Linked DNA regions of Tribolium castaneum. Each later gene encodes a partner of the first gene's protein in a complex. Links are inferred from orthologs where the notes say so. Each region holds a gene or a part of one and is shown on either strand. Other genes may lie near its edges.

What was found.
Region 2: kto (region 1) and Cdk8 share a complex: the UniProt entries of both Drosophila melanogaster proteins name them as parts of the cdk8 module of the Mediator complex. The link is inferred for Tribolium castaneum from reciprocal best matches to the Drosophila melanogaster genes kto and Cdk8.
Region 3: kto (region 1) and skd share a complex: the UniProt entries of both Drosophila melanogaster proteins name them as parts of the cdk8 module of the Mediator complex. The link is inferred for Tribolium castaneum from reciprocal best matches to the Drosophila melanogaster genes kto and skd.
Region 4: kto (region 1) and CycC share a complex: the UniProt entries of both Drosophila melanogaster proteins name them as parts of the cdk8 module of the Mediator complex. The link is inferred for Tribolium castaneum from reciprocal best matches to the Drosophila melanogaster genes kto and CycC.

What each region holds. Positions count from the first base shown.
Region 1 is NC_087398.1:4,020,416-4,027,982, reverse strand, and holds the end of kto (mediator of RNA polymerase II transcription subunit 12), read left to right. Parts: coding exon 1-154; intron 155-402; coding exon 403-607; intron 608-657; coding exon 658-768; intron 769-816; coding exon 817-1,169; intron 1,170-1,271; coding exon 1,272-1,310; intron 1,311-2,015; coding exon 2,016-3,003; intron 3,004-3,052; coding exon 3,053-3,265; intron 3,266-3,311; coding exon 3,312-3,545; intron 3,546-3,651; coding exon 3,652-3,988; intron 3,989-4,034; coding exon 4,035-4,240; intron 4,241-4,438; coding exon 4,439-4,963; 3' UTR 4,964-5,016; downstream 5,017-7,567. Other genes in the region: ribonuclease H2 subunit B, read left to right, coding at 5,324-5,408, 5,595-5,825, 5,872-6,011, 6,062-6,553; bonsai (small ribosomal subunit protein uS15m), read right to left, coding at 7,277-7,567. UniProt on the Drosophila melanogaster protein: Component of the Mediator complex, a coactivator involved in regulated gene transcription of nearly all RNA polymerase II-dependent genes.
Region 2 is NC_087397.1:11,465,271-11,473,306, forward strand, and holds Cdk8 (cyclin-dependent kinase 8), read right to left. Parts: upstream 5,144-8,036; 5' UTR 4,969-5,143; coding exon 4,750-4,968; intron 4,704-4,749; coding exon 4,048-4,703; intron 3,985-4,047; coding exon 3,803-3,984; intron 3,754-3,802; coding exon 3,494-3,753; intron 3,448-3,493; coding exon 3,352-3,447; 3' UTR 3,313-3,351; downstream 1-3,312. Other genes in the region: trk (protein trunk), read right to left, coding at 1-97; amrt (TM2 domain-containing protein CG11103), read left to right, coding at 1,785-2,303; RpS30 (ubiquitin-like FUBI-ribosomal protein eS30 fusion protein), read right to left, coding at 2,375-2,535, 2,735-2,900, 2,952-3,026; eRF1 (eukaryotic peptide chain release factor subunit 1), read left to right, coding at 5,682-5,767, 5,845-6,020. UniProt on the Drosophila melanogaster protein: Component of the Mediator complex, a coactivator involved in regulated gene transcription of nearly all RNA polymerase II-dependent genes.
Region 3 is NC_087399.1:1,842,236-1,850,275, reverse strand, and holds part of skd (mediator of RNA polymerase II transcription subunit 13), read right to left. Parts: intron 6,739-8,040; coding exon 6,424-6,738; intron 6,366-6,423; coding exon 6,087-6,365; intron 5,387-6,086; coding exon 5,110-5,386; intron 4,684-5,109; coding exon 4,537-4,683; intron 4,282-4,536; coding exon 3,856-4,281; intron 3,802-3,855; coding exon 3,351-3,801; intron 3,300-3,350; coding exon 3,026-3,299; intron 1,759-3,025; coding exon 1-1,758. UniProt on the Drosophila melanogaster protein: Component of the Mediator complex, a coactivator involved in the regulated transcription of nearly all RNA polymerase II-dependent genes.
Region 4 is NC_087394.1:8,424,305-8,433,133, reverse strand, and holds CycC (cyclin-C), read left to right. Parts: upstream 1-4,400; 5' UTR 4,401-4,529; coding exon 4,530-4,561; intron 4,562-4,612; coding exon 4,613-4,719; intron 4,720-4,768; coding exon 4,769-4,975; intron 4,976-6,815; coding exon 6,816-7,270; 3' UTR 7,271-7,381; downstream 7,382-8,829. Other genes in the region: leucine-rich repeat-containing protein 1, read right to left, coding at 2,389-2,580, 2,638-2,896, 3,543-4,045; Pa1 (PAXIP1-associated glutamate-rich protein 1), read right to left, coding at 7,401-7,578, 7,627-7,832. UniProt on the Drosophila melanogaster protein: Component of the Mediator complex, a coactivator involved in regulated gene transcription of nearly all RNA polymerase II-dependent genes.

The DNA.
Region 1 (7,567 bases):
TCCGGCAGGCTTTATACACTGCCTTGCAGCCGACGCCGAGTAGTAATTATGTGTACAACTCAGGTTATATGCAGGAGGTTTTTACCAATCCGAGGCGAGGTGGCCGAATTGAGAGCTCGTGGGCGAGGCCGTTGAACGAAAGCGCAAATAACAGGTGGGTGGTGATGTTTCAATTGTATTTAATTGCAGTCGAGGTACAAAATTAGGAAAAGTCTTAAAACTTGGTAGATAAGTAAAAATTTTTGTTGTTTTATTCGATTTATTTGCACAATTTCATCGATTGCCACAAAATTTTGCCCAGAACTAGATAATTAACTGGTTAGCAGTCGTTTTAGATCAAATGTAAAATTACTTAACGCTTTTGCAAGTGGCCTATCACTGATGATTCTCATTTGTTTTCAGATATTCATTTGTTAGTAATGCGGTTATCTACGTTTGTCGCGAAACAGACAACGAAAGGTTGAACGATTTGGCAATAATGTGTGCCGAAATGACGGCTTGTTGTAACTCATTGGCATCGGAATGGCTGGGTGTTTTATTGGCCCTATGTTGCCCTATTGCCCATCCTGGGTACTACACCGACGTGTTGGCGCAGCTTGACATACAAGTGTGTATTTTTTCATTCAAAAAAGTCCAAACTTTTGATTTTTTTTCTAGGACGTGAGCATACACAACGCTTTGGCCGTTTTTACGTGTATTTTAATCGCGAGACATTGTTTCTCGCTGGAGGATTTCGTAGGCAGGGTTGCTTTACCCAGCCTATTGAAGGTAACCATTTTTTTCTAAAGGAACGTGATTGTAAGGCGTTTTTAAAAGGTGAAAACGTTGGATAATGGGAGTGGCGCTGCCGAGGGCGGCATGCGCCTCACATGCCACCTCCTCCTGCGACTTTTCCGCACAGCTGAGGGCCCCCAGCCTGGCTTGTATTCCGTCGGTTCGCCGCCTTTGACAGCCCCCAGGCCTCCGCTGGGAGTGCGTCTCAGCTGCGACCGTCATTTGCTAGCCGCAGCGCACCGTAATATTCACGTGGGGCCCGTTTTAGCAGTTCTGAAGGCTGTTTTAATCGTTGGGGACGCCACAGCTCGTGAAGGCACCGAACTCAGCATTTCACATATCTTGGGGACCAGTGATTTGATGAGTGGGGGCGATGGTCCGTCCTTAGACCTGGCGTAAGTCTCTCGTTGCGTAGGAGTGCTCACGACGATTGATTTTTGATTTGATTTATTTATTTTTTAACGGGATTTGATTTGAAATTGGTTCTGTTCCGTCAGGGTAGACATGGAGGTCTGCGGCTCCAGGACGGCCCATAGGTTTGTCGATGATTCAATATAGCTTTGCTTTGATTGTGTCACCTGTGCTTGCACACACTCATTTGTTTATTGTGAGATATGGACGCAGTTTTCGCTTACACACGACACCTAATCGGAACGAAAGCGAACCGGAGTTAGGGACTCGGGTTTTGTTTTGTTTCTCTCATTTCCGACAGTTTTTTTTCTTTGATTTTGGAAATGAGGAATTGAGTGATTTTATTTGGGGGAGCCATAGACTTTATCTTTGTCAATTCGGGAAAAAAATCATCACCATCATGGCTGCATTGCTAACTAGAGGGTGTGCTAGTCGATATTTGTGTAGAAAATGCATGATAACCTTTAGCTTTAAAGCATGCAGTCATTTCTGACCCGTGACTTGACCGAATCGAAACGTAGAGGGCGCACTTGTGGGAAACTGGAAAATTTTCCAGAGAATTTTATGAAAAAACTACTTGGCGCAAAAATAAAGTGCATGGCCCGTTTCTAAAATGGGAATTAGTTACTTCGCTTCATACCGGTGTGTACCGAGTGAACTAACAAATGAATTAGATTTTTTAGCTCATTTGGTACTATTATTTCTCCCTTGTTTTGTAAATAACGCATAGACCACCTTTCCGGAGTATTCAATGTTTTGTGATAATAATATTCTCGTCTAATAACGTTAATTTATTTAGTTAGTAACAATTTTTTCATTTTTGACGACAGACAATCAAGCACCGGTAACGCCGAAAGCACGGCCTCCTTATCAGCCTTCGCCTGTCACGTATTGCGTGAAATTTGCTCCCAACAGTGGGTCCTGGAGCGCTGTCTCTCCCATCCGGAGGAACTTTGCGACTCTGATAATCTCCTAGACCCGCTTTTGTCGCATTCGCAAGCTCAAAGACTGCTTCATATGATCTGTTACCCCGATGCTGGGACCAGTATCGAAGAATTGGATCAGAAAAGTATGATAAGTCGGATTTTAGAAAATTTGGAACAGTGGACATTGCGTATGTCGTGGCTCGACTTGCAATTAATGTTCCGACAGTTCACTCCCAACTCTCAGGAGTTGTCTCAATGGCTGGATACGGTAGCTAAAGCCGCTATTGACGTGTTCCAATTAAACTCGTCTTCGTCGAATTCGCCCAAATCCGACGAGAAAAAACCGGAAATTAAAAATCGGGCGCAGAATTCCATTTGGTTGGTGGCGCCTCTCGTGTCGAAACTGCCAAGTGCGGTTCAAGGTCGGGTCCTTAAAGTGGCCGGTCAGGTGCTTGAAAGTGGGGGTTGGTGCAAGGAAACTAAGAGTAAAGGACGTGGAGGGAGTGATAGTCAGAGTCTTTTGAGTCATCAGCCCTTCCTGACTTTGGTTCTGACCTGTTTGAAGGGTCAGGAGGAGGGCCAAAGGGAAGGTCTCTTGTCCAGTCTCCACCAGCAGTTATCACAGTTGGTGCAGCTGGCACGTGACGGCAATTTGCAAGACATTTGCAACAATGAACGCACCCTTGATGGGTTACAATTGCGCTTTGCGCTGGTAGGTGGCGTGTTTGAGGCGTTCCAGAGGAACCCATCAGCGACCACCGATTGGGCGTTGCTTTTGGTACAGTTGGTAACCAATGGATTGATTGATTTGCACACGCATAGCGAGTTGTTTACCACTGTTATCGACATGTTGGCAACATTGATTCATTCGGCGCTGGCGACTGATAGTCAGGTGTTACAACCGATTTGGTTTTCAATTCGTTACCGACTGATTGTTTCAGGATGAGGGCCGGAAAATGTATCAGAATTTGATGAAAAAATTGAAAAAGGAAGTGGGTGAGAGACATAACGCCTCGTTACAACATGTGAGACAACTGCTTCCGTTACCGCGGAGCGTAACCGAAATAATTGCGGTTGAACCGATCGGTTGGGTCACCGATGGCAAAGGGAATAAGATCAGTTTCGACAGTTTGGATAAGAAACACGGTTTTCAGGTCAGCAATTTAATTATTTTTATGGTGGTATTAATGGTGAGATTAGGTGACTGATAAGCAACGCGTGAGCAGTTGGGACATCCTCGAGGGTATGAAAAACCCAGCCCCCTTGTTCTGGGCCTGGTTCGGGGCAGTCCGCCTTGAACGCAAGCCCCTGACCGGGGAAGACAACCATCGCCTCCTCAAATACCACACTCACAACCTCCAGCGGCCCCCATCGCACTACTTGGACCCTCCGCCACTCCCACCAGAGGATTTGGAGCCCGTCCCCGACAAGCCGGTAATGTTCCCTCCATTTTATTCCTGTGTCTCTCGAGCCCCCTAGAGCGGTCCTTGAGCCCCAAAGTGTCTTAGATGTGTAGATTTGTGTACTGTGTAACCTCCAGCTAAAGGACTGTGACCTGAAGGCGGACACTCCCTCCTCGGTGGACCAGAGCCCAGCTGCGATGGGCAAAGGCCGTGGTAAAGGTCAGCGACGTCCCCGCAAACCCAAAACCGTCCCAGGACAACTTCCCGTCAATCCCATGGGCATGAACCAGCCCCAGATGGGTCAAGGACAAATGCCCATGCAAGTGCCCGGACCCAACCCACAAATGCACAATATGGGCGGCTACGGACAGGGGCCCATGCCGCAGCAAGGCCAACAGTATGGTAATAACCAACAGCAATGGTACAACCAACAACAGCAACAGCAGGGCTATTACCCGCCTCAAATGGCCAACGGTGAGGCAGTTTTGAGGATTGACGAGTGTTTACTGTTTGTTTACAGTTAACCGCTTCGAAAGGCCGCAGATTAATCAATCCAAGCAAGCGCTTTCTAATTTGCTGCGTTCGCGGCATCCCCTGAACATGGGGCCCACTGCACAAACCCCGCAAGGGCCGGGGCCCCAAGCTAACTACGGGCCCATGAGGAGCTTCCCGAGACAGCCAATGCGGCAACAACACCCAGGGGCGATCCAGCAGAACCAGGTAAAGGTCCGTTATTCAAATATTATACTAGTGGTGCCAATTAGTGTTTTGTTACGTTGGCAACTATTTGTTTTGAAATCAAGTCGCCACTTTAATAGAGTGTCAAATAATTTTTCTCCAAACAAATCAAATTTTTGTGCTAAAATGGATTCAGTTTGTGTTTTGCATTAGAATTGGCTTTAATTTGATTGAATTCAATTCCAGAACATGTTCCCGCAGCAGTACGGCTCCATGCAAGCCGGCATGAACCAGCTGTATGGCAACTACGGGGGCACACCCAACACCATGATGCCCAACAACATGCAGGCGAGTCAGCAGATGATGCAGGGCTCGCAGCCGAACATGTTCGCCGGTCAGCAGCAAGGGTTCGGGCAGCCGAGGCCCCCACAGCCCGACTATCGCGGCATGGCCCAAAACCCCCGGGCTCAGTACATGCAACAAGCGCCAAACGTGACAATGAACGCCAATATGAACACGATGGGCGGGATGGGGGGCCAAGGGGGCCCAGCACCGCCCTACTCGAGACAAACCCCGCAAGGGATGCAACAAGGGGTGCAGCAACCCAACCAGTTCCAGCAACAGAGGATGAGACAGCAGATGATGGCCATGCAACAACAACAGCAACAACAAGGGGGGCCACAAGGAAATACGTCCTCGTTAGTGGCGCATTTGCAGAGGCAGATGAATCCTAACCCGTACCAGCATCAGCCCCCACCGTATAATATGTAAGAGTGAAAGTCGTGTGTGTTGTGAAGTGTGTAAATAAATTTATTTACAAGAAATTGTGTTTTTTGTTAATAAATAATTTGAACCCCTGCTTGTGTTTTTGTTACGCCACTGATAATCTTGCGCATCGCAGGTGCCGGGTTCCAATCGCCCAGCACAAAGTTAGTCCTTGTTTTAATTAACTTGTGGCGGAGATTTGTCTGGTCCGCTGCACTATTATGAAAATGATAAAGAGTGCTGCCAACCTGAAATTAATTTATGCACAACTGTCATTTTTAGTGTGAAATTTAACCGGGCGTCAGTGATGGCTGTCTCCTATTAATAAACAATTTTCCTTAAAATTTCCATTAATTTAACGTGAAAATGCCCCGCGTTAAAGCCTCCCCGAAAAAATGCATCAAGTCCAACCTGCAACAGCCGACAAATTCGTGGGTTTTCCTCCTCAAAGGTAAAAAATAATGCGATTTTTCCCAGCGGTTGTTTTGTTCTCTTTGTATTTTTTCCGGATTTGCTTTTTTGTTTTGTTTGTGTCGGCGTAAAAACTCGATATTGACGAATTGGGAACGGCGAGTCTCGCGGGGACTTTCAGTCAGGATTTTTGTGTAAGAGGTTTGTTTACATTTTTCGTGTTTAGGTGAAGCGCTGGAACTCAGCGAGCAGTACACGGGCACCGGCACCCCCGACATTGTCACCCTGAGACACCCCAACACGGGCGAGTCTGCCGTGTTCCTATTCTCACCCGCCAACAATTCAGTACAGGAAATTTTGACGTACAATGAGGCGAAAAGGTCGTGGTTTATTGATGAGACGGTTAAAAGCGATGGGAAAATGCATCTATCGACCCCCATAGACCCCATTTTCTTAGGTGGGTGACCAATCACCCAAACAATAATTAATAAAATTAATTCTAGTGTTACCATACTTGAGGAAATATTGCAGCAGCCAAGCGATACCTTTAGACCAACTTTTGCGAGACGAAGAGTTCCCAGAGACTGAACGATTGCTAAAATCCAGCGGTCTCAAGTATTTAAATATGATAGCCGATAGAAAAGTGAGTCACGCCAATTTGCCGTGTTTTTTGTGACAAAATAATTTTGTTAGGGTGACGAAGAGCTTAACGCTTTCAAATACAACGAAGAAAAAACCCTCTCGTGGCTGAAGAAGAAGACCGAACGCGTGGCTGAAATCCTCAAACAGAAGAATATTCACGTGGGTTCAGGCGCCGTCTCTGCCACGTTTGTAAAGTCCTCAAAATCCGAGTCTTCCGATTCGGACTCGCATTTGCGATACGCCCACGGGATCGTGTCCGAGTATTTAATGGACGACCTTAGTCAAAAACTCCTCAAATACCTGAATTTGCCTGACGACCCCCAGTTCAATTTGAAACGAAAAAGCACAAACCCGCTGTCGCCCAACGAAGCGAAAAAAACGAAAATCGAGGAGGAGAACAAGAGTAGCACTTCCAACGTCCTCGACTTGAGCAAACCTGAGCCAAAGTCGGCGAAGTCTGCGGCAGCCAGCGCCAAGGACAAGGCCCGAGCCAAGGCAGCGAGCGGCAGTAAGACTATAAGTTCCTTCTTTAAGAAGACTTAGAGGTGAGACGCTTAGGTCAATAGTATAAGTTTGCTTGTTTGATCGCGGACAAGGTTGTTACATTTAGGATTAAATTAGGTACTAATTGCTCATCTCCATTTCGATACTTGTGTACAGTTGAATCAAAACTTGTCCGGACGTAAAGTGAAACGAATGGCCTTTTTCAAATGGAATTTCTCTCGTTTCAAACGAGCCTAAATTGCAGGATTTGGTCCGCCCCAGTGTCTCTTTTGGTTTGGGCTAGTTTGTTGTTAGTTCTTCCGTTGCGTGTCAGTATTAATTTATTTGTGATAGTTTCAGTTTCTTGTACATATTATTGCATTGGGTGCAATACTTTCTGTTTAGATATTTTCACATTGAAAAATTTCGTTTCTCTTCCGATTTGCTGTGCAAATTATCGTCACGTTTTTACGCAAAAGAAAAACTCCAAAAATTTGTTCCTAAGGTCACGAAACAATGACTGATTCTCTTATAGCGAATAGTAAGTGTTAGAGTTCAATGTACGGTGAAGCAATTTCTGATTAGTTCTTAGATGGCAATACAAAAACCATGATCAATAATAGGTAGATACGTGTAATAAACATTTTATTTTTTTAAGTATTTTCACTCGTATGTATGTCAAGTTTCTAGATTAGAGATTTTTATTGTTGCATTTCGTCGTTATGTGTACGTGATACATGTATTTAACGGAAAACGAAAAAATGTTTGAAAAAAACACTGGTTTCACTCTTCTTCACTCTTACGTTGCTCCTCCAATTCCTTGAGTTGCTTCCTCACTGCTTCAACCTCCTCGTCTGTGACAGTGACTTCAACCCCACACTCACGTTGCTCGTTCCTGATAAACTCAAGAGCCCTGATTTTCTCCTGCAAAAAGACAGGCTGTTCGTTCTGCAACAGCTGCTTGTACTCGTCAAGCCGCCGTTGCCTAATATCCTCGCAGTAGTTATTCGTCAACTTCCGTAACGACTCCTTCCGGGTGATCCAATGGAAGTGATCAGGGGGCGGCTTATACAC
Region 2 (8,036 bases), on another chromosome or scaffold:
GCTCGTCGCATATGGAGTTTTTTTCCCAGCGGCTCAGCGGTGCGCTATCAACGACGCTCAGAATTGATATTGTCAACAAAAATAGGATTAGACACATTTTAACGAATGTTTGGACCACGGCTGACTGGTGGTTGACTGGTGGAGATTTTGCCCCTCTCTCGTTGCGTTGAGTGTTTACTAAGGATTACTTCAGGTAAAATGATCACTTTCTGGGAATAAGAGTTGTTAGAAACACAGCAGTGCAAGTTTTTTGCGATTAAATCGCTGAAAATGTGTCGTTTCAAGTAGCGGTTGAAAAAATTAGCCAAAAAATAATACACTATCAAAACTTAAAGAATAAATAATTTCATATACAGCTGTCCCAACTAAAATTTGCACCCCCTGTAATCTCCAATTCCATGCAAGTTTGGAAAAAATGCTGAAACAGGTCACTTTTGGTTTAAAAGGGGGGCAAATTGTATGTTAGTTTCAAACAAGGACGTTTTCTGCATTCCAGACCTACGTCTTCAAAAAATTTAAATAGTAAAAGGGGTCGAGTGACATCATTTTGAGTGTTATGCAACGATTAAGTAAGATGCGACAAAAACTAAAGCCAAAAATTTCAATACTTTGTTGGTGGAAAAATAAGTTGGTTTGTTGGTGAGGTCATCAAATAAGATGTTTTACGGTTGCACTGTCTTTTAATTAATGAAATTATTTAATTACAAAACAAACCAGCAAGTTGTTTAGCTTGTAAACTTGTCAAAGCATTTCTATTTTATTTTTTTTTTATTTTATTTTATGTTACGACAAAGTTTGTTTTACGTAGCCTTGAATATATTAGCTGTTTCAAAACTATGAAAACACCAACGTCGCATTTTCTTTCAAAATTAGCTGTTACTCATTAAAAATATAAATTACATTATCTATAACTTTTTTGAAGTGCATGAATAATTTATAACAGCTAATTTTGAGAGAAAATGAGACGTTGGAGGTTGGTGTTTTTGTAGTTTTGAAACAGCTAATATATACTTTTATATTTTATATTACCGTCACTTGTATTTTTTAGGAATGTTATTTATTTTGAAATAGTTATTAATAATACAATTGCGAAAATACAAGCTTGAAGTTTGAGGGCTGTCGGGTATGCAATGAGCGTTGTTATTATTATTCAATTTTTTTTTGTTGAAACAAAATTTTTTCAATTAGTTTTTTCAATTAGTTTTTTTAATTTATTTTAAATCATAAATTTAAACGTGTTTTAAATTAAGTTTAAATTAATTTTAAATTAAATTTAAAACACGTTGCTTTGGGAAGCGTGTTTTTATAATAGTAAAAACATGTTGATATGGGAAACGTGTTTTAAAATAGTGCATAAAAAAATCTAAGATTCAGATATTAAAAAGAAGCCTTAAAATGTTATTATACCCATTGTACCAACAGAAATAAAAGTAATAAAATAAAATAACACAGGATAAAAGATTACAGATTTCTGCACAAGATTTTAAGGGTTTGCAATATGTTTCGGCAGATGTCACCCGTTTAGACAAATATTTTCGTGTTTCCGCCCTTGTGTAAAAAAATTCACAATTTCGAAAGTTGTGCATTTGCAAATTATTATGATAAATAAATTCGAGACTTGAATATTTTTTCCACTGGTGTGCCATTGGAAATTGCGAAAAATCCCAAGTGTGGCAAGAATGAAATAATTCGGGTTTTTCTAGCTTTGGCAAATTTTTTTTGTATATTGTTAAAAGGTGAAACAACTCCCGTTGCTTCATTTCTTCGCTAAATAATGAGTGACAATGATTTCACTTGTGGTATTTTTGATCTTTCTTCAAAGTGAGGTTATATGGGCCAATCATACATTCAATCCTAGAGGCCCCCTTGTAAAGTGTTCGTTCCTCCCTTGGGAATTCATCACTTGCAAGGACCCAGTTGACCACAAGGGTAATAGAACGGCAAAGGAAGAGTTGGGTTATGGTTGTGTTAAGTTTGGTGGTATGAAATACGAAGATGTTGAAAGGACTAAAGTGGAGTGTACAGTTTTGGATAGGATAGAATGTTACGGAAATCGAACTTTTCTTAAAGAAGGCGTCGCTTGTGTGAAATATTCCGATCAGTATTTTACAACAACGTTGTTATACAGCATTTTATTAGGTTTTCTTGGGATGGATAGGTTTTGTTTAGGGCAGACAGGAACAGCAGTCGGTAAATTGTTAACATTAGGTGGAGTTGGTATTTGGTGGATTGTTGACATTGTACTACTTGTAACCAATAATTTAGGGCCTGAAGACGGCAGTAATTGGAACCCTTATGTGTAAATAAAAGACTTGTTTTACTTCTTATTTTATTTATTCATTGCAGTTATGAATATAAAACTTAAAATACGAAATTATGACGCTCCAGCGTTTGAGTTGGGGCCGCGGCGACGTCCAAAAGTGGCCACAACATTGACGAATCTTCTGTTGTACTGAATACGTCTCTTGGCGCGACCTGTCTTCTTCTTCTTCTTTTCTTGTTTTTCAACTTTGGGGGTCTGACCCTTGACTTTGCCTAAAAAATACAATACACATCAAACATCGCCGACTTACATTCAGAAATAAAAATGTCTGATACTTTCTATAGCGGCTTTAAAACCAAATTAAAACCACCTCAAACAGTTCAATTTTCTCTTGCAAGCTTCAGGAAGGCTGTTACTGTGATTTCCATACCAGCCTGCTGTGACTTGCCGTTAAAACTAACAAAAAATTACCTGCACGTGCCAAAGAACCGTGGACTTTACCACCCAACAAACCAACAGTCAACTCAATATCAGTATTTTCGAATTCTGACACCAAACTGGCATCGGCCACGGGAACACCGCTGGCGTAGAGACTGATTTCGCTGCTGTTCAGGTTTTCCAAAGCCGCAATGCGATCCTAAAATTGACCACTTGGAGAGAACATAACCTCACACTTTGATAAAATTACCTTGATTTCAGCAATGGTCTCATTGCTCTGGCACTCAAGCACGTGCGTTGATAGTCCGCGAAAGCACAACTGCATTTTGCTCGGTTCTGGAAGAGAAAAAACAATTTTTATTGCATCACATGGTGATTTTTACAAGCGCTTAAGTCTCGACTAGCACTAATTTTATTCAAAGGGACAACAACCGCACACATAGTACGACCCCAATCTTCAATTTTTGACCCAAAAGTCATAAAAATTTGATATAAAACGGAAAAACATACCTACCGCAAGCACTAATTTGACAAAAGGAATTCAAAATGGCGGATTCGAGGAAACGGAAATGATAGTCAGAAACTAAAATCCCTAAATAAAAAGCGCTCGATACGATTTATAGAAATTTATTAATGTCTTAAACCTAAATTTAAAATCTTTGTTGAAAATTCTGTTGTTGTTGCGACCCGTTATTATACATCATCTGCTGCTGATGAAACTCCTGTTGTTGCGATATTGGAATAGCCTAAAAATCAGTCATTACTTTGCCACTTAAATCAGAGAAACCCTACTTGTGGATTGACTTGGCCGGGATGGGCATTCCCCGACAATCTCACACGTTTTGAGGGATTCCCGTGATTATCCCCATTTCCAGATTGTTGCTGTTGGGATTGCTGTTGTTGTTGCTGCTGCTGCTGTTGTTGCTGTTGCTGGGATTGCTGCTGTTGTTGTTGTTGCTGTTGCTGCTGGTTTTGACGTTGCTTACTTTCAGCCTTCTCTTCCTGATCGTCATCAGTCAAAAATTCGCGCTTGGGATATGGGATTGGACAACCTGTGATTATTTATTGTTTTTTTTTATTTGAGAAATTTGTTAAACTGACCCGCGAAAACGTCCTGCGTAGGTAGAGGGTCTTCAGAAAAGTAGGCATCTTGCATCGCTTGTTCTGAAGTAATTCGTTTATTTGGGTCCATTAATAATAACTTTTGTAATAAGTGAAACGCTTTACTGTCAGGTTTAATCTTATGTCTATCCATGTATTTTACTAACGAACAGTTGATATAGCTGGAAAAGATTAACAAAATGACAAAAATTAATTGGCAACAATTTAATTTCCATTGTCTGTACCTTTGTTTTTTAAAATCTTTAACTAGTGTGGGATGTTCGGGCATTTTTTTGATATCTTCCCAGTCCTTTTCAAGGGGGAATCCCATAACGTTAAAAATCCTGTCTAACTGGTCATGATGGTACGGATTGCTGGTTTTGATGTCTTCTTGCCGACAATGAAAAATTGGTTCTGAGGTCAACAGTTCGGCAAAAATGCATCCAATGGCCCAAATATCAATTGCTTTCGTGTAATGGCGAGCTCCGAGCAATAATTCTGGCGCTCGGTACCAAAAAGTGACCACAACGGGGTCCAAATCAGCTAGAGGTTTCAATGGTGCGTTAAAAAGTCTCGCAAAACCCATATCTGCGATTTTAACACGTCCTCTCTCCGGCCCTTCACCCATAACCAGAATATTAGCCGGTTTTAAGTCCCTGTGTAACACCCAATTTGAGTGCAAATAATGAATTCCGTCTAAAATTTGGTAAAGCAATGACTTCACCATTCCTTTAGGGACCATGACTGGCTTCTTATTAGCTTTAGCGGCTCTGTGAAATTTAATAATGTGCCACAGGTCGTGTTCGGCGAAGTCGAATAAAAGCCACACTTTTCTATCATTGTGAGATAAAAAGACTCTAATTAACGTGATAACGTTTGGGTGTTTCAATTCCCTTAAAAGCTATAAGGCAATAAGGTTTATTAATAATACAGCACGCGATTTTTACCGCTATTTCTCTGCATGCTGACATGGATAGTCCTGTCCCCTCGATCTGTTTTAGGGCATAGTCTCGATTGTCCGACCCGTCTTTCCGCCGCCCTTTATACACATGGCCGTACGTGCCCCGACCTACCTTACAACCTTCGTAATCGAACAAATCCTCCACCTTTACCCGCTCATTCTGAGTCTTCATTTTAAATTCGTAGTCCATCATGAGAGTTGTCATAATATTCAATTGATCAGAAATTAGAGCACTTCGCGAGAAGTGCCAAGTTTATATGATAACACCGGTGATTCCCTAACAAATTTGCACTTCACTATTGGGAAGAACAGGAATGTTTGTAAATAATAATAATTAATCAAAATTTGTTTTTGACAAACGTCAACGTCTTGTCAAATGTCTAACCGCGACGAGCATGCGCAAAAACAACGCACAAACTAAAGAAAAAATGAAATTTAATTTTTAAATATCTACTGTTAATTTAATAATTAATTGCAATCAATACGTGGAAGTTTGTCGAATCAAGCAGAAGAAGTATCAATTATTTGAAATAATTATGATTTTGTGGTCCCGAGGTCGGGTTGGGCAACGTGGCGTGTCGAAATTCCCCCAGTTTGATTGAATAAATGGGAAATTCCGGTCGGAAAGTTGGGAAATCGTAGGGTCCTTTTCGAATTTCCTTCTGCGAGAGGCTGTCACCTGCCAGTTTTATTTTGTGATTCCCTTTGTTTCGGCATGTGAGTGACTGGAATATTTTTTCCCGCACTAACCAAGTCTCCGGGTCGCGCATTTCTGGTTATAACCAGTTAAAGTGGTTAAGTTACCTGCATAACCAGTGAAAAGTGACTCAATCAAGTAGTTCGTCGGCATTGGAGACCGCGCCATTTTGCATCGGGTCACATTTTTCGTATTTTTAGTTCATACGAAATCCAGCAGAAATGTCAGGAGAGGAGACTTCAGCCGACCGTAATGTAGAAATCTGGAAAATAAAGAAACTGATCAAAAGTTTGGAACTGGCGAGAGGGTAAGTGCAACGTGGTTAGAAATCCTTCAACATATGCCCACGAGTTTCAAGTAAACGGTTTTTTTGGCCTTTTGCAGCAATGGAACCAGCATGATTTCGTTAATTATACCGCCCAAAGATCAAATCTCGAGAGTTAGCAAAATGTTAGCTGATGAATTCGGCACAGCCTCCAATATCAAGTCGAGAGTTAACAGATTGTCAGTCTTGGGGGCTATCACCTCAGTCCAGCATCGCCTCAAACTCTACACAAAAGGTAAGCGCGAGGAGCCCCAGCCTGTGACACACCCTACCAAAATACCAGCGTTGAGCAATCGTTTATAATTAAAAATGCATACTTTGTACAGTTTATTATTTTAAAAACGAGCCTTTCATGATCACTTAGATTGCATGATATCCGCTTTAGGTAAACCCTAATTTTCCAAGCTGAGATTGCAAAAATAAATTGCTACCAATTAATTAAGTGGTGAATCCCGCTAATTTAAAACAAATTGAAAAATCTTTACTCATTCAGTTGTCATTTCCGATCCAACTATTAGCTGTTTCAAAACTATAAAAACGCCAACGTCCCATTTTACCGAATTATTTTTTAAATAAGGTTGATACAATTGTAAAATACTTATTAATAATTAGGTCTCTCATTAAAAATATAAATTACATTAGCTATTAATTATATGAAGTGCATGAGTAATTTATTTATTTATTTAGCTAATTCTGAGAGAAAATGCAATGTTTTATAGTTTTGAAACAGCCATTTATAGATTTTACAGTCCGTTCAGTCAGTACCTGAAATTTTTCGCTAGCTTCAATAGTTTCGAACTATAAGACAGTTATTCAGAGTGGTTTTATTTATTAAAATAAAATATATATTAAAATTAGACAGTGTACATTAAAAATTCTTGGTTTTGTTTAACAACGTAAGAAATAAGAACAACATTTTGTGATTGCGATAACGGACGGGACAGCAAAAGTTATAAAGATAAAAAAGTAACATTACTAATAATTTTATTTGCCGATTTCCATTTTTAAAGAACCAGAAGGAGAAAATACTCTTCAAAAAATATTCATCTGTTGTAGTATGTCAGTATTTTATGTTATCACCTAAAAGACATATATGCCATTTCAGTTCATAGTAGAATTTTGCAACAGAGCATTTGAATTTTTTGTAGTGAAATTGAGAGTTTCTGGTGGGTTTTCTTAGCTCAAAACGTGTCGCTGGGATTTAGTTTAACACAGAATTCTTTTCTTTTACAGAAGCTCTCAATTTGTGCTTTATTTTTTACTCCGATAAATTCAAATGCGCTGTTGCAATTCTGCTATGAACTGAAATGGGATTTATGTCTTTTAGGTGATAACATAAAATACTGTCATACTGCAACAGTTGAATATTTTTTGGAGAGTATTTTCTTCTTTCTGGTACTTTAAAAAATAATATAATTATAAAGTATAAATAATTTATACTTTCAATGAGAGATCTAATCATTAATAGCTATTTCACAATTTTATCAATCCTATTAAAAAAAATTATTCGGTACAATGCGACGTTGGCCTTTTTATAGTTTTTAAACAGCTAATATATTTCTAAAATTTAAAATATTCATTCTATCGAAGTGGGATTGTTATGATCCGGAAATACTAAGTCTGTTGGAAACACTGAATTTAAATTTTAAAATATACCAATGGAGTACGCTTCCCGTTAACAACAATTTAACATTCTTTTGGGGTTGTACGTCAAATAATTGTCAAGAAAAATCGAATTTAGTTGCATTGTTGCAAATTACGAGCAAAAATACTTTAAGATCTGTTGCCAATAGACCCAGTATTTCTGGATCGCTCTTTATTTAATGTCCAAAGAGGGGTGTTCAGAGCGCTTTCGGGATAGGATCCCATCATCAGTGTCTTAAAATTACTATGGTAGCGCTCAGCTCCGTTTGCGTGTGCGTCATCTGACATTTCTGTCACTACGTTTACATAGCAGGGGCATAGCGGTGACAAACTATCAAATATTTTTTGAGGTTACGAAGTGTTTAAATTATGAGTTGTTACAAAAAATACAGATTCACAAAACAAGAACTAATAAACGCAGAATCAAAAACCTAACGAAACGCAAACCACAAAACACAATAAACGAACAGAAAATACTTGCGATTAACACCGATAACACTTTCGACAACCATGCGACGACGTCTATAATATACTGTCAATGTCAGTTTGACAAATTCGTGACACTTGACGGTGTTGTCGAAGTGCACATGTAAATTAATGTTCAAGG
Region 3 (8,040 bases), on another chromosome or scaffold:
CAAGCAACGTCTTATCCATCGGCACTTGTTGCAAATGTGGCGCTAGATGATGCTTACACACCTGCGCGTACAACTTCAACATATCCGTAATTTCCCCTTCCCCCAGCAGCGTAAACCACTCCTCGACAGGTTCATTCCCTAATTTAGCTTTGGCCGTCTTCCCCACCCTTAAAATCCCATCGCGCAGCACTTTGGTGATGGGACTATGCCGCCCCAACTTGCACATCTCATACGCCGTGGACAGCTCCTTGAAAAAGGTCCGAACACGTGGAAGTATCGCATCGTTATCGGGCGCCACCACAATGTACGCCACATCACGGGCGAACGAATACGGCTCAAGCAGCAAGCTTTCCCAGTGCTGGATGGCATAAGGCGACACCGACAGCCAGTCCTTCTCGTGGCCGACGACCACGGACGGTATGGGCTGGGGCTCGCAGCGGTCGTCGGTGCCTCTCCCGGCAAGCCGGTGAAACTGGCGCCAGGTGAGCGGGCCTTTGACCGCACTGGGGGCCTCCCAGAGGCGCGTCTGGCATTTCTTCTGGATGGCTTCCTGGAGGAGCGGTTGCAGGGAGCGCATGACCCGGACGATGTCCTGGTTGCACTGCGGGCCGTTGGCCCGCAGGAACGGCCACCGGTGGACGGCGTAACCAACGGCCGGCTTCGCCTTATCCTCGACCTTACAGACGGCCAAGTCGTAGCTACTTTTACTTTGTTCCAGGGCTATTGTCGTAACTTCGTTACTATCGGAGTATTCGAGGACGTGAATATTGTTGAAAGTTTGCTTGGTGCAGACGTATTTGGCTGCCCGACAGAGGGCGTTCGCCGTATTCGGGATCACAACGCACTGTTCCCGGATCAATTCCAGGAGACCGTGCGGTAAAACATCGACCTGGTCCCGGTCGATGCTCGGGTCGAGTTTAATCGAATTGCTCGCGATGAGGAACGACAACAACGAGGGTTTTTTCTTCTCGCCGGGGTCTTCGGCAATGCCGGTGATTTCCATCTCGTCTTCGTAGAAGAGACCACTTCCGTGGGCCAGCCGGCGGTTGACGACGGCCGAGAAGCCGCAACTGCACCGAATGCCGTCCTCGTCGACGAGCAGTTGCTGCTGGTGGTGGTGGGGCGGCGAGAGCATGCCGTAAGGAGGCGGTTGTCCCAAACAGGCCCCGGGGAATGGACTGCTCGGTTGTTGAACACTACTTTGCGTTTTATCACAGGACGAACTTATCAAATAAACACCGGCGTCGGCGCCACGAATGTTACCGACGACACGGCCGCCAGCATTGCACACACACAACGTACAACTATCGAAGTTATGATCACGGAAAATATTCGATGCGGTGTCGGTTAGGAGGATGTTTAGAGCGAGCGAATTCGCTTCGGGTGTCCTTTGCACTGACGGTGTGGGAACAGCTTCGACCGAATTCAGGTTTTTGTTAAGGTAGGAACTGGCGGTTGACGTTGCCGGACTTGGGAGCTCGTAGGGAGGTGGTGGTTGCCGGAAGCCGCCATGTAGGGGACTGGGAGGGAAGGAGTTTTGGTGGAGGTTGTTGGGGATTGAAGGCTGGGTGGTGGACGGTGGTGGGAGCTGTTGGAGGGGTTTTTCGGCGTGTTGTATCCATGATGGTTTGTAGACGCAGTACGATGGGAGGGTCACCACGGGAAGGCTTTGACTGGGCAGGTTCGTCAAAGGGGCGTATTTGCTAGAACCCACCATTTTACACAAGACGGGCGGCTTGAAAACGTACGTCCAGTCGTCTGGGGAAAAAACGAAGAAATTAAATTAAAATCAACAATTGTTTTTTTTAATAAAAAATTCATTGTCAACGTTTCAGTGGTTTATTGTCAGCTTCATTAAAATCGTCAGAACAACAATAATTTCTGTGAATATTTTGCTTTGGAAAATTTGCCCGAACTGGTCACAAAACAATAATTCAGTTTTCGAGCTTTCTTGCACATTTGTAAGCCAAACACCCAATAAATTTCAGAAATTTCCCTAAAATTGACTATAATAGACTAAAAAGTTTTCAAATACGATGGAAATCATTGTAACTATAGCTTGTTTTGCTCGTTTTAGTGATTTTTAAACAAAAAAAATATATTTACTTTTTACAAAACACACATAAAAAACCACAAAAATGAAGCTAAATTTATTGTGTTTTACCTGATTCACTCACTTTAATACGTTTTTGAGCGATATTTTGTAAAAAATTGGACAAAAAAAAAGGTAAATTTCAGTCAAACAGAAGATTTAAAAAAAGGAGGGGTTCATAATAATATTACGAACAATATCTGAATGAAAAGTTTGTCCACAGGTATTATCTTTGTTAAGAAGTTAATATTTGTATTTAAATAAAGAATTGACTCATTTTTTAATATCTAGATTTTGTTGGTTGTTTATATTAAAATTTTACGATTTGCACTTTATTTTTTTTCGACAAAACTTTTATATTGCCATTTCCATTTCTAAGATTATCCAATAATTTTTGCGCTCATTGGATAAATCATTTCAACAGTAATCGTTTCTGTGTGTTTATTTCTTTATCTAGAGTTTTGGTTTTACTAAAATTTAACTTGTGGCCTGTGTCAGAAAGTGTTTTTTCTTTTTTGTTTATGTGTATTATGTGGCCGCTATTTTTATGCAGTTTAATTCTGTTTATTAAAAGTTGTGAACTTTGTCCAACGTAAGATAATATCATTGGTCTGTAACGAAATACTCGTTTAAATAAAATTAATATGAATGAATAAAACTTTAATGAAAGTAAGAAAAGAAAAAACTACAAAGAAAAATGTTATTAATTTATAACATTTGTTAATAAATTATTTTCACAATTATTTAACAGTTATTGTTTTAAGATAAATCACCGATTTATACAAAAAATCTATTATAAAAAAAGTTTTGTGCGATTTATAATAATCACGTGTAATAATAATGATAAGGAAAAAAATACGTTAAATTCTATAGACCAGTAAATTGGCAGTTGATTGTGTATTTTTACGATATTTTGTGTTTTTTTTTAATTACCTATGTGTTCCTCCGGGGGACTCCCCATATTGGGATAAATCTCCTGTTTGGTCCTGACTATCCCTAAATCCGTATAATCTGGCAGTGCTAAATCCATTTGTCCGCAAGGCGACGCGATCGGATTATGTTCGAGACTTGGAGGTGTTGGAAACATTTTACTCAATTCTTCGGGCCTTAAACACCCCATTGTGGGACACCCTCCATGTCCCGAAAGTCTTTTATTATCCTCGTGATGGTTCAAAGTCGTCGAACCTGGCGGCGTTTGAACCTGAATCTACAAAATCACTAATAAAAAAAAACACAAAAAAACAATCACCAGACTTACAGCTTCATCGCTACTCGTATCGTCAGAATTGTTATCAAAAATCTGTTCGAGATCTTTGTAGCTCGGTTGCAAGCCTTCGCTTGTAAACAAATTTCCAGTACTGATTTTTTTCGAATCTTTGGGTTCCTCTTTGACCACCGTTTGCCCGCGTTTGAACCCATCAATGCAGGCTGAACCGGCGCCCTCTTCATCGAACTCGTACGGATCTCCAGGCCTCTTAACCCCATGACCTTGCATCGGCCCGAGCGGCGTCGTTGATTCACTTTCAGTCATTTCTTGCTTAATTTCCTGCTTAATAAATTGATTTTTGGTATTGAAATTGTTCGTTACGTCGTTGTTATTTACAGTGACACCATTGTGGTTGTACATTGAGTAAATATCATTTTTCCCGAGTCTATTCCTCTTGTTTTCCTTACCGTCCGGCTTAAACCGCTTAACCGGATGATTCAACCTAAAAAACACACACATTAACCCGATTATTCGAACGTTTGTTTTTTTTTAATACCAAGCTTCTAACGTCGAATAATCATAAAGCATTTCCAAAGTCTGTTCCTCATCCCCTAACGAACTTTCGTATTCTTTCACACTCAAAACCGGTCTTTTTAACACGGGAACACTCGTTACGTTCGTCACTTGTTCGTTTTTTGCATCAGTCGGACAACTGGGGCTGTTTGCCGTACTTTCAACGCTTTTGGGGGGATGGTCGGGGGTGTGTGTCTTTTCAACTGGTGACGGAAGCAACGTGGGCGGATGGGGCGACAACATCGGCATGGTTTGGTCTCCAGGCGGCACCGAAGCCGGTTGCGAGTGGGGGTTGGGTAGTGGCGAGGGGGCCACCGATGGGGGGCTCCCCACCGATGGGATGGCCACCGATTCCTGCGTGCGAGGGTACGACGGTGGGCCCCCTTGAGGCGTGTAGGAGCCAGAGCATCTGAAAAAAAACCGGAAAAAAATTGTTATCTGAAATTCTGAGTGGCGTCCGATGAATGAACAACAAAAACATGCCTAGTGTACCTGGGGCCCGCCCTATGAAATGTGGTAACCGATTATTAGTATGAGATTGTTAATGTCGCTTCATTTAAGTAGAAATTAAAAAATGGGTAATTCCAAATGCCAAATTTTAATTTTTTTTTTATTTGGTTTGGAATGACCTAAAAGCCCGTCACCCATGAAGCGAGTGACCAACCTGTCGGAGTCTGCAGGTACGGGGGAGCGCCTGTGGAAAGGTACACGTCCCCGTACTGCCTTCGAAGGCCGGGGCGAGTTGGTTGTCTTGGTGGTGGCCCCGGTGCTCCATTTATTGCTGGTCATGCTGCCCACGTACTTTCTACACCTGCAATGTCGCAACGTGCACTAACAACTCTCAATTTACAAAAACATAACTAAACTACACCTCGATCTGCCAATAAAAAAAATAAAAGCACCGAAACCTAGCTACGAGTCCAGGCAAACAAGCTTTAAATCAAAATGTTGGGCAAAAGCTTACAAGCTTTTTTCAAAGATTATTCAAAATCTACAAGCATAAAATTTTACAAAAAAATATTCACTTGACTATTTTTTTAATTAAACAAATTAACAGAGTTAGGGTGAGTAAAAGTAAAGGGATAATATTAATAACTGATTAAAATGTTTATTTCTAGTAACATTACCGATTTTGAATCTTGAAAAAACACTTAATTTTGTTTTTTTTTTCAAAAATTTCCCCAAAATTTTGATTTAGAGCTGGCCTATACATGCATTTCAACAAAATTCCACTCACTTAGAACAGGTACAATTGGCGCGTTTGATTGGATCGACGAAATCCCATTGGCCGGTGAATTCGTGCGGTGTATTGGAAGTTGGTTGGGGGGTGCAGCCTGGGGGCCCCCCATGGATGCACTCCTGCCATGCCCTTTCGGGCAGAACAGTGGCGGCAGTTTCGTCGCGTGACATGGATAAGAGGTGTTCCACCGAGACCGAATACGGCCCTGGTTGGGGCACCCTACTGTTGATTTGGATCGGAGATGGGGGTGGTGTTTGGGTCAGTATCGGTGAACCTAACACACCATTGGAGAAAAAAATAAAATTCATTTCAATCAAGTGTCAAAAGCAAACGTTACGACTCAACCATTCAAAGATTTAATTAATCTGTCACGCTGAATGCATGCCTAAATGCCGCTTAATTAGCCTGTAAAAGGGGCGAGGGTGGACGCCGGTTTGACCCACTGTAGGTTGCTCTTTTAATCAATAGTGTTTAAGCGGCCTTTAGAGCCGATTTCGTAAATACATTCATTTAAATTTAATGCCCACTTCATTTAAATTATGTAAAAATAAACATGAACGTACGAAACGTAATTAGAAAAAATTACAAAAAAAATAAAATGGTTAGAAATGTACCGCAATTTTTTTTCTGTAAGATGACACTGCTTTCTTATTTTTTTTTGTAATTCTACCACTAGAAAATTGATATGATAGACATCAGTGTGTATCAATCAGCGACGTGACTTTGATAATGCAAGCAACCACACTTTAAATCAAACAATTTTACGAGTGATGTGCAATTACCAACAAAACATTTCATAAACCCTGTCGACATTAACACCACCTAATAAATTAATTTTTACGACTCGTGACACTCCAACAGGTCCGTCCAAACCCCTTTTGTTATAATAAAATTGTCATAAATTTCGCCACAATAAAATGTTTTTTTTTGGTGTCTCGTCGTCTCGTATTTCATTGCAACAAAGTTAGACTCACTCGTTCCGTTCTTGACGAGCCCATTAGGCGGATTAACCCCCGTACAATTCATTGCCGAATTGACGTTATCGTCCAGATCGGTGACAAGAACATAGCACGACGGATACTTCATTTTAACACCTCCGACAATGACTTCCACCACACTGCTATCCGTCAAACTGCTACTCTTATCCAATGGATAAAAGTGGCTCCAATCTTCCAGCAAACGTGAGGTTTGGTCCGAAGACTTGAAACTTTGACCGGTTAAAGTCCCCGCAAGTCCATACGGAGCCAAAATCACTACAAGTAAAAAAATTACACATTTTATTTCAAAAAAAAAAAAAAAAAATAGGTTTACCTTTGAGACCAGAAGTTGAGGATTGAGCTTGTTGCAAATGCAATCTGGTGAGTCTTCGAACTGGTGGATGTTGGCGTACGTCGACGCTTGCACATACGGAACTCTCGCCGTGCACGAAAAACGCCAAAGAGAACGATAAATGAGTCATGGTGAAGTCGTTCTTCTTTGGACCTTCGTACGGCTGAACGAACCATTTTCCCAACCTGATAAAATCGCGAGAGAGGAGACAACGCTCGATCAGGTTGTGCAAGGCTTTGAAGAGGAGAGATCGACACTCGTAGGACAGGCCGCTCTCCCACGAACCCTGCTCCGAATCTGCAAATTTTTTTTTATTAACCAACGACTAAATTTTCAAGAATTTCAAGAAATTTATGTATTATTTATGTATTTTGTGGTTTTAATATTTTTTTAATTGGTCAAATAAAGCAATAAAACCTCAATATCTCGTTTTTTTTTGTAACAGGTACAGCCGCCCAAAAAAAATTACGTGTCTCTAACTAAACCCAGACTAGTTTTGTTCTAATAGAACATTAAGGGCCGATCTACTTTACAAATTGCGAAATTAAAAATTAATTGCGAATTAAACTAATTCGGTATTTAGTTGACACTTAAAATGCATTGACAAATGTCATGTTAATCTCGAATTAAAATCTGAGTACAATTAAAATGTTCTGTAAACCGACTCTTAGTCCCGGTTTACAGAAACCGACATTAAAATTTAATTCCGAATTAAATTGCATTGACAAACGTCGAGTTAATCCCGAATTAAAAGCTAACTGCGATTCAGTAAACCGGTCCTTTAAACTCATTTTTCATTAACTAAGTAATAAATTAAAGGCCGGTTTACAGAACGTTTTAATCACCATTAAAATTTAATCCGCGATTAACTTGCCATTTGTCAATGCATGTTAAATGACAACTTAGTTCGAAATAGTTTAATTCAGAATTAAATTTTAATTTTGCTTTCTGTAAAAAAAAGCGTCGTTAATTTAATCCGCAATTAAATGCGTGATTAACTGATCACGTGAAACAATAACAACTGATAGTTTTTGTAAATTATTTCTACCGTAAAAAAATTGTGGCAATTATTTATTGTTATATTATTTTAACTTGCAAGAAAACATTTTAAACACTCTCAGCATAATCAGTGAAATCTCTCTTAATGGACACCTCCTATAAGCGGACAATTCTCATAAACGAACATTTTTGTTATCTCTGTTTTGAGCTACTGTATTTCAAATGGTATGTATTGCTTCTCTTTCCGTCTCTCTAATAGACGGACGCGGATCCTTGGAAACAAAATCTCTCTTTTAAGCGGACAACATGCCTTACGCGCATAAAATTCGGGAAATCACATAAGCAGATACATGTTTCAGATTTGGATTAAAAAAGATTAAAGAAAGTATATGTTAACATTAAATAAAAAAATGATTTAAACAAAACAAACCGAGTGTACGAAATGTACAAAAAAATATGAAATAGGAAAATCCACGTAGAAAATATTGTTAAAAGCAAAAAAAAAAAGAAATGGCATGGAAGTGGAATTATTTGTTCGGAGTAAGTTTTTTTTGTAGAAATAAGTATTGAAAACAGACCAATTGACTTATAAGTTTATAC
Region 4 (8,829 bases), on another chromosome or scaffold:
TAATTTGCGTTTTGATATTGGAACAGCTTTTTTCCCATGAATTTTAGTAGAATTGTAAATCACTTCCACAAAAGGTCTCTATCAGGATGGTGGTTTTCAAAAATTTATTGCATTTGTCGTAAAATTTGCACGCGATCATTGTTGGGTCTGAAGGTTGAGGCAGCTGGTAAGAATTTTTCAGGCCCGGATTTCCATTTATTTTATCTGTTTATTGCAAATGGAATGTTAATCTTTAAATCTTGCGGCAAGGGCTCATGCGAATTGTAAACGAAAAATTCGTTTGTGCTTAGACCAAAATAGTCATCAATTTAAACATCTGAGGTAATATTTTAATAAAAACATTTTTAACAAGTTAGTGTGCTTATTCCGGTCCTGGCTTTAAAATTGCACGATGGGACCGTGCCGCTAGTTGTAAAATTTCTGCAGTTATTACTGTTATTGGGGTAGGTAGTGGGTCCTTTTGTCGCGGAGATTTATTACTACTCAATCTTGTCCCTCATAAATTAGTTAAATTCCCGATGAATAATATCAGAATGGCTTTTAATCAAATTCTAACGATTTTTTTCAAGTCAAATTTTTCCAGAATAATTTTATTTCGCATTTCCGATCCATTGATGTAAAAAACAGCCAATGTGATTTTTTGGTCAAATAGTTTTTTTCTTTTTTATTGAACAAATAAATTAATAGAAAAAAAAATTAAAGAAAGTTTTTCCCTCCTAGCGAGATTGGATATCAGTGCAGTGGAAAATATTTATTTCATATTTTTTTTCTCTCTTCTAAGAGATGTAAAGTGCCTGAGTGTAAAACTTGACGAACGCGGTACAGTATAACGTAGACACCAAACTTCAAAAACTAGTAGCTCGCTTACAGTTAGTCCTACAACAATAAGGCTAGGACCATTTTGTAGGAAATTTTATCAACTTTAATTTTGGTAAAAAGATCAAAATTGATAGAAGTGACCGTTTCCGAGATATAAGCAAAAAAAACAAAAAAGACAGCTTTAGCCCCCTCCCCCTCCTTGGGGACTTTTGATAAAGAAAGCTTTTAAAAAAAATTCCAACTCTCTAGGAATTTTTTCCACCGATCGCCTTATTTTTGTCTAATTTGACTGGGCTATAAAGAGTATAAAGGAATTTAGACTAACTCTGTATATTTAAGAAAGCTGTTTTCAAATTATAAAGAAGATGGTACAGCGTCTGATAAATACTTTATTAATTATTAAATAACATTTTGAAAAAAAAATTAAATTTCCGTTAGCAGGGTTTTGTTAAGTCTTAAAGTTATATAGATAAATTTTGTTCTAATGGGTAAAGAGAAATTGGTGCACCTAACTTCTAATTTAATCAAAGGTTATTGTTTGAGCATAAAAGAAAATTTTGAAAAAATCCACTTCTTCACAAGCAGATGCGTTAAAGTTTATTTCGAATTCTTTAACTTTGTAGAATAATAATACTTAAGTAAATAAACATCTTATTTTAAAGTCAGACAAGTCTGTTAAAGTGTGTTTTCACGGATCGATTTTACTTGATCTAGAAAACTTTAATGAAAATCAACGTAAAAACATAATCAAATTAGGTCATAAGTTTTGTTAATTAACTACAATTAATCCGTGAGAACGCGCCTTTAAATTTAGTAATACTAAAAAATATGCTTATTAAATAATATTTCAAAATAATTTACAGCTTAATTTTGGAAGTAAAGAAATTGAAAGTAGTTCTAACAAAAATTATTAATGTAGACGATACTTCAATTTCATCTGTAAGAATTGTAATGGAAAAATAAGTTTCAGATTAAAAACTTAATACATAGTCAAAAATAAAGATAGTGCAAACACTTTATTCAAAAAGAAAAAACGATTATTAAATTACCAATTACATATTTAACAAAACGCTGCAAACACGGTTAAAGAAAAAAGTATAAAGGACAAAGTTGTAGAGAATTAACTAAATTTCTTATAAAAAAAGTCCACGACACCATATTTCTATCTTCAATAGTTTAGGTATAAATTAATTTTCCGATACTTTATTAGTGGTAAAATGAAACGAAACCGTCGCTTAAACTTTTTTAAACATCATTGAGGATTTTTTTTAAAGGGCATTTAATTTTCTACAATTTCCTTTCCAATATTTTTCTTGTATCTTAACCCGTTTTCACGGCGTTTTGAAAAATGTGGGACGAAACGTAAATCTTATATTTTTTTCTCACGTTTCTCGTGAAAATTTAATCGTCACTTTATCTCAGTCTGCTAAGAATGCAAAGCTTAATAGTTCTGTATTTTTTCCAAGAAATTACTTTAAAAAGAAATATACTTTTGCGTAACCGACTTTTATTTAAAAAATAAACCACAATATCTCGTAATACTTTATGGTAAGGAAAAACCTGAAACAATCAAAACGTTACAAGAAATTTTGACAACTTCGAGACTTCTATTAGAATATCTTCATCGTCGCTTTCTGACTCCGTAGCTGAATAATTCAAATCTGAACTAGCTACACTATTTTCCCAATCGGAATTTGAGTCAGAATCGACCGCCGTATCATCTTCTAATTGTTTATTTGATGTTATCACATTGGGGAACATCTGGAACAAAATCAATCAATTTTATTTACGCACAATTGAAATCAATTAATAAATTACCACATCTATATCACCAGTCGAGGACAATGGGTTATGTAATAAATTAATTTTGACACAAGTCATTGTAGTGAGTACACTTTCCGGAATCGAATAAAATTCGTTAAAGCGCAAGTGGAGGTATTTCAACTGTTTTAATTTGGATATATTTGAGGGAATATAATGAAATTTGTTTTCAGTCAAGTTGAGGTGTATTAAAGACTGTAACTTATCGAAGTCTTTAGGAACTGTGTACAATTGATTATCTTCTAAAGTAAGCCACCTGAAAAAAATCAACAGTAATATCCATCACAAGAGGGCGAGGTTAAATTGAAAATTATTTTCTAATTTATCGAACTCTCCTGTGCTTTTATGTGGATTTTTTTTTATTAATAGGCATCATGAAATTATATAATATTTAATTGTATCTGTTTTTTTAGAAAGTTTACACAGTAGGCGCTAGTAGATAAGTAATTAATCTCACGAGAATAATAGTTATTTATTATACAAGACGATAAAATCTGATTTTAACTATGAGAAGGTTTTGAGAAGATAATGGTGCATTTTATCGTGTAAAATACAAAATTTTATTTCTCCTCCATTTTTTTCGATTATTTCGAATTACTGAGTTATTTTGATTAACAATTATAAACATTAAGAAATTTAACAATAAAAAATACTTTAAAAACAACAATAGTTGCGAACTATATTTTTCTAGGCGACAAAATTCCGTTTTACCATAAAGTAGACAGTGGATAAAATACGATTTTATCCAACCAAAAGCATTAACACACTCGGCTTCGCCTCGTACTACTTTTTCGTTGATAAAATTCGACCTTGTTTCACAAGAGAGTGGAATAAAGTAAAAATAATTTGTCGATTTTTCGAAAACTAAAATTCTTTAATTTTTGGGTAAGTGTCATACTTACCTCAGTTGCACTAAATTACAGATTCCATCTGGTAACTTTGTTAACAGGTTATGCCGAGCCCCCAAGGTTTCCAACTTTGTTAAATTACCAATTTCTTCAGGTAAAGACTCCAGATAGCAACGGTTACACCATAATGTTTCTAACGAAGTTAAATTTCCAATATCTCTAGTCAAGTCTTTAATCGGATTATGGCTTATGTTTAGAGTAATCAACTGAGGCAAATCCTTGAGTACTTCAGGGAAACGATCGAAGTTATTGTACTCCAGAGACAAATTTTGCAAATTCTTGAGCTGTCCGAGACACTTGGGCAGTTCAGTGATTTGATTATGACCAATGTTTAGATATGAGAGGTGGACACAGCTCACCAACAAGGGGGGAAATTTGACAAGGTCGTAATCATCTAGCGCTAAATTCGTTGCTTTAGTTCCATGAGCTTTTTCTATTTTTGCCAAAACCCGGTTTCGCTGAATGTAATCGTACACTGGATTCATTTTTGGAAGCATTTAGAGGTTATGTCGCACAAACTCACTGATTATTTACACAACTTGTACACAAGCACACATTTTTGAATAAATAAGAATCCAAAAAAGAAAACTGGGGGCCCGAGCCCCTACACCATTCCCAACACAAAAAAACACACAAACAATAATTTGTTTGTTGTCACAAGTGGCGCTTTGACATTTGAAGTAGTTCAAATCAACCAAACATTTTCGTATCATATGGTTCGAACGAAACAAACAATAAATAAAATAAATAACAAAACTGAAAAATTAGCGTTCGTTTGTACTTAATTTTAGTATTCTAAGGTCTACAGTTTTAATAAAAGAGGTCGTAGGTTAAAAAACACCACAGTAGTTCCATTGGTTGACACTTGTCACTTGACTGAGTTTCTTTGACCGGTTTCTTTTGCTTTTGTGTTAATTAATAATTGACTGGAAGCTTAAAGTTATTGCCTGTGATTTAATTCAACTCAGATTAGTTTGTGCAATGGCTGGAAATTTTTGGCAAAGCTCACACCAGTAAGTTACGATATGAAAACGGCCCCAAAATCACAAATGAATTTTTTCCAGCCAGCAGTGGCTTTTGGACAAACAAGATTTAATTAGGGAGCGCCAACATGATCTCCAACTCCTCACGGAGGAGGAGTACCAAAAAATATTTATATTTTTTGCTAGCGGTATTATTTATATTAGGTTATTATCAACTCTCTTAATTTATTTTTTCAGTCATTCAAACACTAGGCGAACAGTTGAAGCTACGCCAGCAAGTTATAGCAACCGCAACGGTTTATTTTAAGAGGTTTTATGCAAAAAACTCACTTAAGTGCATCGATCCGTTATTGTTAGCCCCCACTTGCATTTTTCTAGCCTCCAAAGTAGAAGAATTTGGGGTGATTTCCAATTCTAGGTTAATTACAACGTGTCAGACAGTCAGTAAGTTAAGTCACAGTCTCCGTGATGGTCTTAGATGGCTGGTCTAAAAGTTACCAGATATAATTTTCCCAAGTTTTTGTTAAAAAAATTACCGAAAAGCATCCAACTTCGGAACTACGGATATCTAAAAGTTAGGATATGGTACGACGTACAAATAAAACGTTCCTGTCCTTGATATTTCCGTTAATGCCGCCAGAGAACGCTGTTGTTCCATTACCAAGGTTTTCAGAGCAATAAATTTGAAAAAATGGTTGTATTTGTATAACGGTTAACACACAGCAAACAAAAAAAATACAGGCAAATAGAGCATTAAATTCTCAATAGTAGGACATAAACATAATGCAAAAATTTTATCATAAACTATATTTAAAAAAATTTCAAACTTTTACCAATTTGCACTCTGTCCCATAATTTTCAAAACGCTGCGAATACGGTTACAGATATAAATAAGTATATACTATTTTTATTCGAGGGACAAAAATTGGATAAATAAGTCACGTCGAATTTTTTTGAACTTAGGGATCAAATTTTATAAACAGAAACTCTTGAAAAGATTAAAAATATATTACCGGACAATCGTTTAATTTTTTGAGATAAATTGCTCCAAAACTAAAATTAAAAATGTCTATTTAATGAAGTATTGTTTATTATTAATTGACTGATCCAGAAATACTGTCTGTTGACAATACTGAATTAAAATTTTAAATGTTCAAAATTAATTGAAATTTGGTATATGCCTGAAAGTAAATTTATTCATCGAATTATTTGTTTAAAAAAAATTTCCATTTGTTCTGGGAATATTAAGACTAGCTAGTCTCATTGGTGAACCCAAAAGTCAAATTTAATATTTTTAATTATTTATTAATTTAATTTAATTTATTATGTAAAAAAAATATCGCACTAAAAAAATTGGTCAGCTTTGTAAATCTTGTCTTTATCTAAAGATAGCTCGTTGCCGCCTCAACTTTTACCAAAAAATAAGTAAAAGTTAATAATAATTGAAAGAGAACACATTTAATAAAAAAATGAGTTGTATTAATACTTATTAGCGCCACTGTATTTATAAGCATTGGTTGTTCTTCGTTAATTTATATGCTAATATCTAGCTTTCAAGTGTTCAATTTTCTCTAATAAATGTTTTTTTGTAGTTACGACTTTTTTGCTTAGTAACTTCAGCAATTTTTTTATTTCAATTGTTTTAAATTGAAAAATAGCGCTCTAAAAAGATGTCTATAAAATTGCGTATCAATTTAATTTTTTTCATTAAAGTTCAAAAGCATATAACATAAAGGTGCGATTTAAAGAAAATTTAAGAATCACGAAATAACTTAAAAATACGTAAAAGTAGTTACAAGGTTTTTGTTTAGCAGGTCAGTTTAATTCTCTACAAATTTCTTCCTAACATTTTTCTGTATCTTTAATTGTATTCGCAGCGTCTTCTTAAAGCACAAATTAAATAAAAAAATTCTCATGTTTGTCATGAAACTTGTAGTCGTCAGTCTTTCTTAGTCTGTTAAGAGTGCAAAACATTTCTACATTTTTTCCACGTTATTAATGAATTGGTTGGTTTTAAATTAATTTAAAACGATTTGGCGACAAGACGGTATAACGCTCGTAGCGCCCTCAGTTTTACTCTGCCGTACTATTTTTGGTCTCCTAACTTATAGTCCTCCGTATTCAGAACATACCACTCAACAGGGCGACCTCTCGCGGTTATTTAATTAATTACAGTTTAAAAATCCAAAAATTAATATTATATTCTGTCGTTAATAATTTCAAAGCCGTCTAAGATCGAAGGAGGCTAAGTTAAAACTAGCTTTTTTAAACAATCTATTTTCAGTTAAAAATAAGTTTAGTTACGCCTATAGTCAGGAATTTCCATATCGTACGAACCACATCCTAGAGTGTGAATTCTACTTGTTAGAAAACCTCGACTGTTGCTTGATCGTCTATCAGCCTTATAGACCTCTCTTACAACTAGTGCAAGACATGGGTCAAGAAGATCAACTTTTGACTCTCGCCTGGAGGATAGTGAACGATTCTCTTAGGACTGATGTGTGTTTGCTTTATCCACCATATCAAATTGCAATTGGCTGTCTTCAAATAGCTTGTGTCATCTTGCAAAAGGACCACAAGGCTTGGTTTGCCGAACTGAACGTGGACATAGAACGAATTCAAGAAATTGCAAGATACGTTATTAATTTATTCGAGCTGTGGAAGACTTACGACGAGAAGAAAGAAATTCAAGGACTGTTGAATAAAATGCCTAAACCAAAACCTGCCCCTCAAAGATAGAAATCGGACGATTTCTACGTGACTTTACGCTTATAACTATCACTTAAATATTTATTCTTTGATTCAATTCAACATAACTGTGCTAATTTCAGAATAAAGTTCCTAGATTTATGAAGTGTTTTATGTTATTTCAATGGTTGCTTTGTTGCGGTATGAGTTTATGCCTCCGCATGTTGTTAATAACACCGTCCAAAGACGTAGTTTTCTTCTTGGCGCTGCCTTTCAGTGCTTCCTCTCCTTTGTTTCGAATTTTGAGGCGTGGGGACGTAGTTTCGTCCATAAAATCAAAATCGGACTTATCCTCAGTCCTACAGACAATAATTAATAATTGTGTAAACACAAACCATAAATTTTACTGTTTTTGCTCAACTTCAACCGGAGGCGGCTCTTCCACTTCCGGAGAGGGTGAACGGTATCCAGGACATTTCCAGTTCAGTTCAGGAATTTCACCCTTGCTTAATTGATCGTAAAGTTTTTCGATCACTTCAGGAGGGGGCTCCCAAGGGCCTTTTATGTCTTTAAATTCGTCGTCGGAGCACTCTATATCCCAATTTTCGTCCATTCTCTTGTAAACATTTTTGTTGTAAAAGTTAGGTTATGTTAAAAAAAAATTACATAACCTCAATCAACTCCAAATGTCACTTCAGAGCGCTAAATTTAAAAATTTGAGAGATAGAAGGCGAAAACTAATCAAAATAAGCTCCATTCTTCCATTCTTCTGTAAAATTGTTCGTTAACGTCCACAAAATAACAGACTGTAGAAAAATAACAAAATCTCAATCAATTCGTAAAATCGAGTTTGTTTTTGACGAAAGTACGGATATCTAAAGGTTAGAAATAAAATTACGTACAAATAAAACGCTACCGCCTTCGATAGTTCCGTTAATGTCGCCAGAGAGCGCAGTTGTTCCATTACCAAAGTTTTCAGAGCAATGAATTTGGAAAAATGGTTAACACATAATAAACAAAAAAATACAGGCAGATAGAGCATTAAATTCACAATAGTAACAGAAACATAGTGCAAAAATTTTATTGTAAACTATATTTAAAAAAAAAAATCAAACTTAAACCAATTTCCACTCTGCCCCATATTTTTCAACACGCTGCGAATACGGTTAAAAACAAATAAATTTCTTACAAAAAAGTCTGCGAGACCATACAGGGTGATCCTTTTATTAGAAACTTTTTAACTTGTAAGATAGCTAGAGTTTTAAAATTTTGTATAGATCCAAATCGACTATTCTAAGTTCAACTAAATTATTTTCAAAATGGCTGACCATCCGGAATTACAAAAAATTGCCGCCATGTTTGAAATGCAATAAAAATGAGTGGTTACTATTTAAAATTTCAAAGTTGGCGCCAATTTCTCTTAGTTAAGGAAAATCAGCCATTTTGAAATAATATAGTTGAACTAAAAATTATCGATTTAGTTATAAATATAAAATCTTAAAGCTTTAGCTATATTAGAAAATAAAAAGTTTTAAAAGAATAAGCCTGTACACATATCTTGCTCGAAGCGCCCTCATTTTTACTCTGCCGTACTATATTTTTGAGTTATA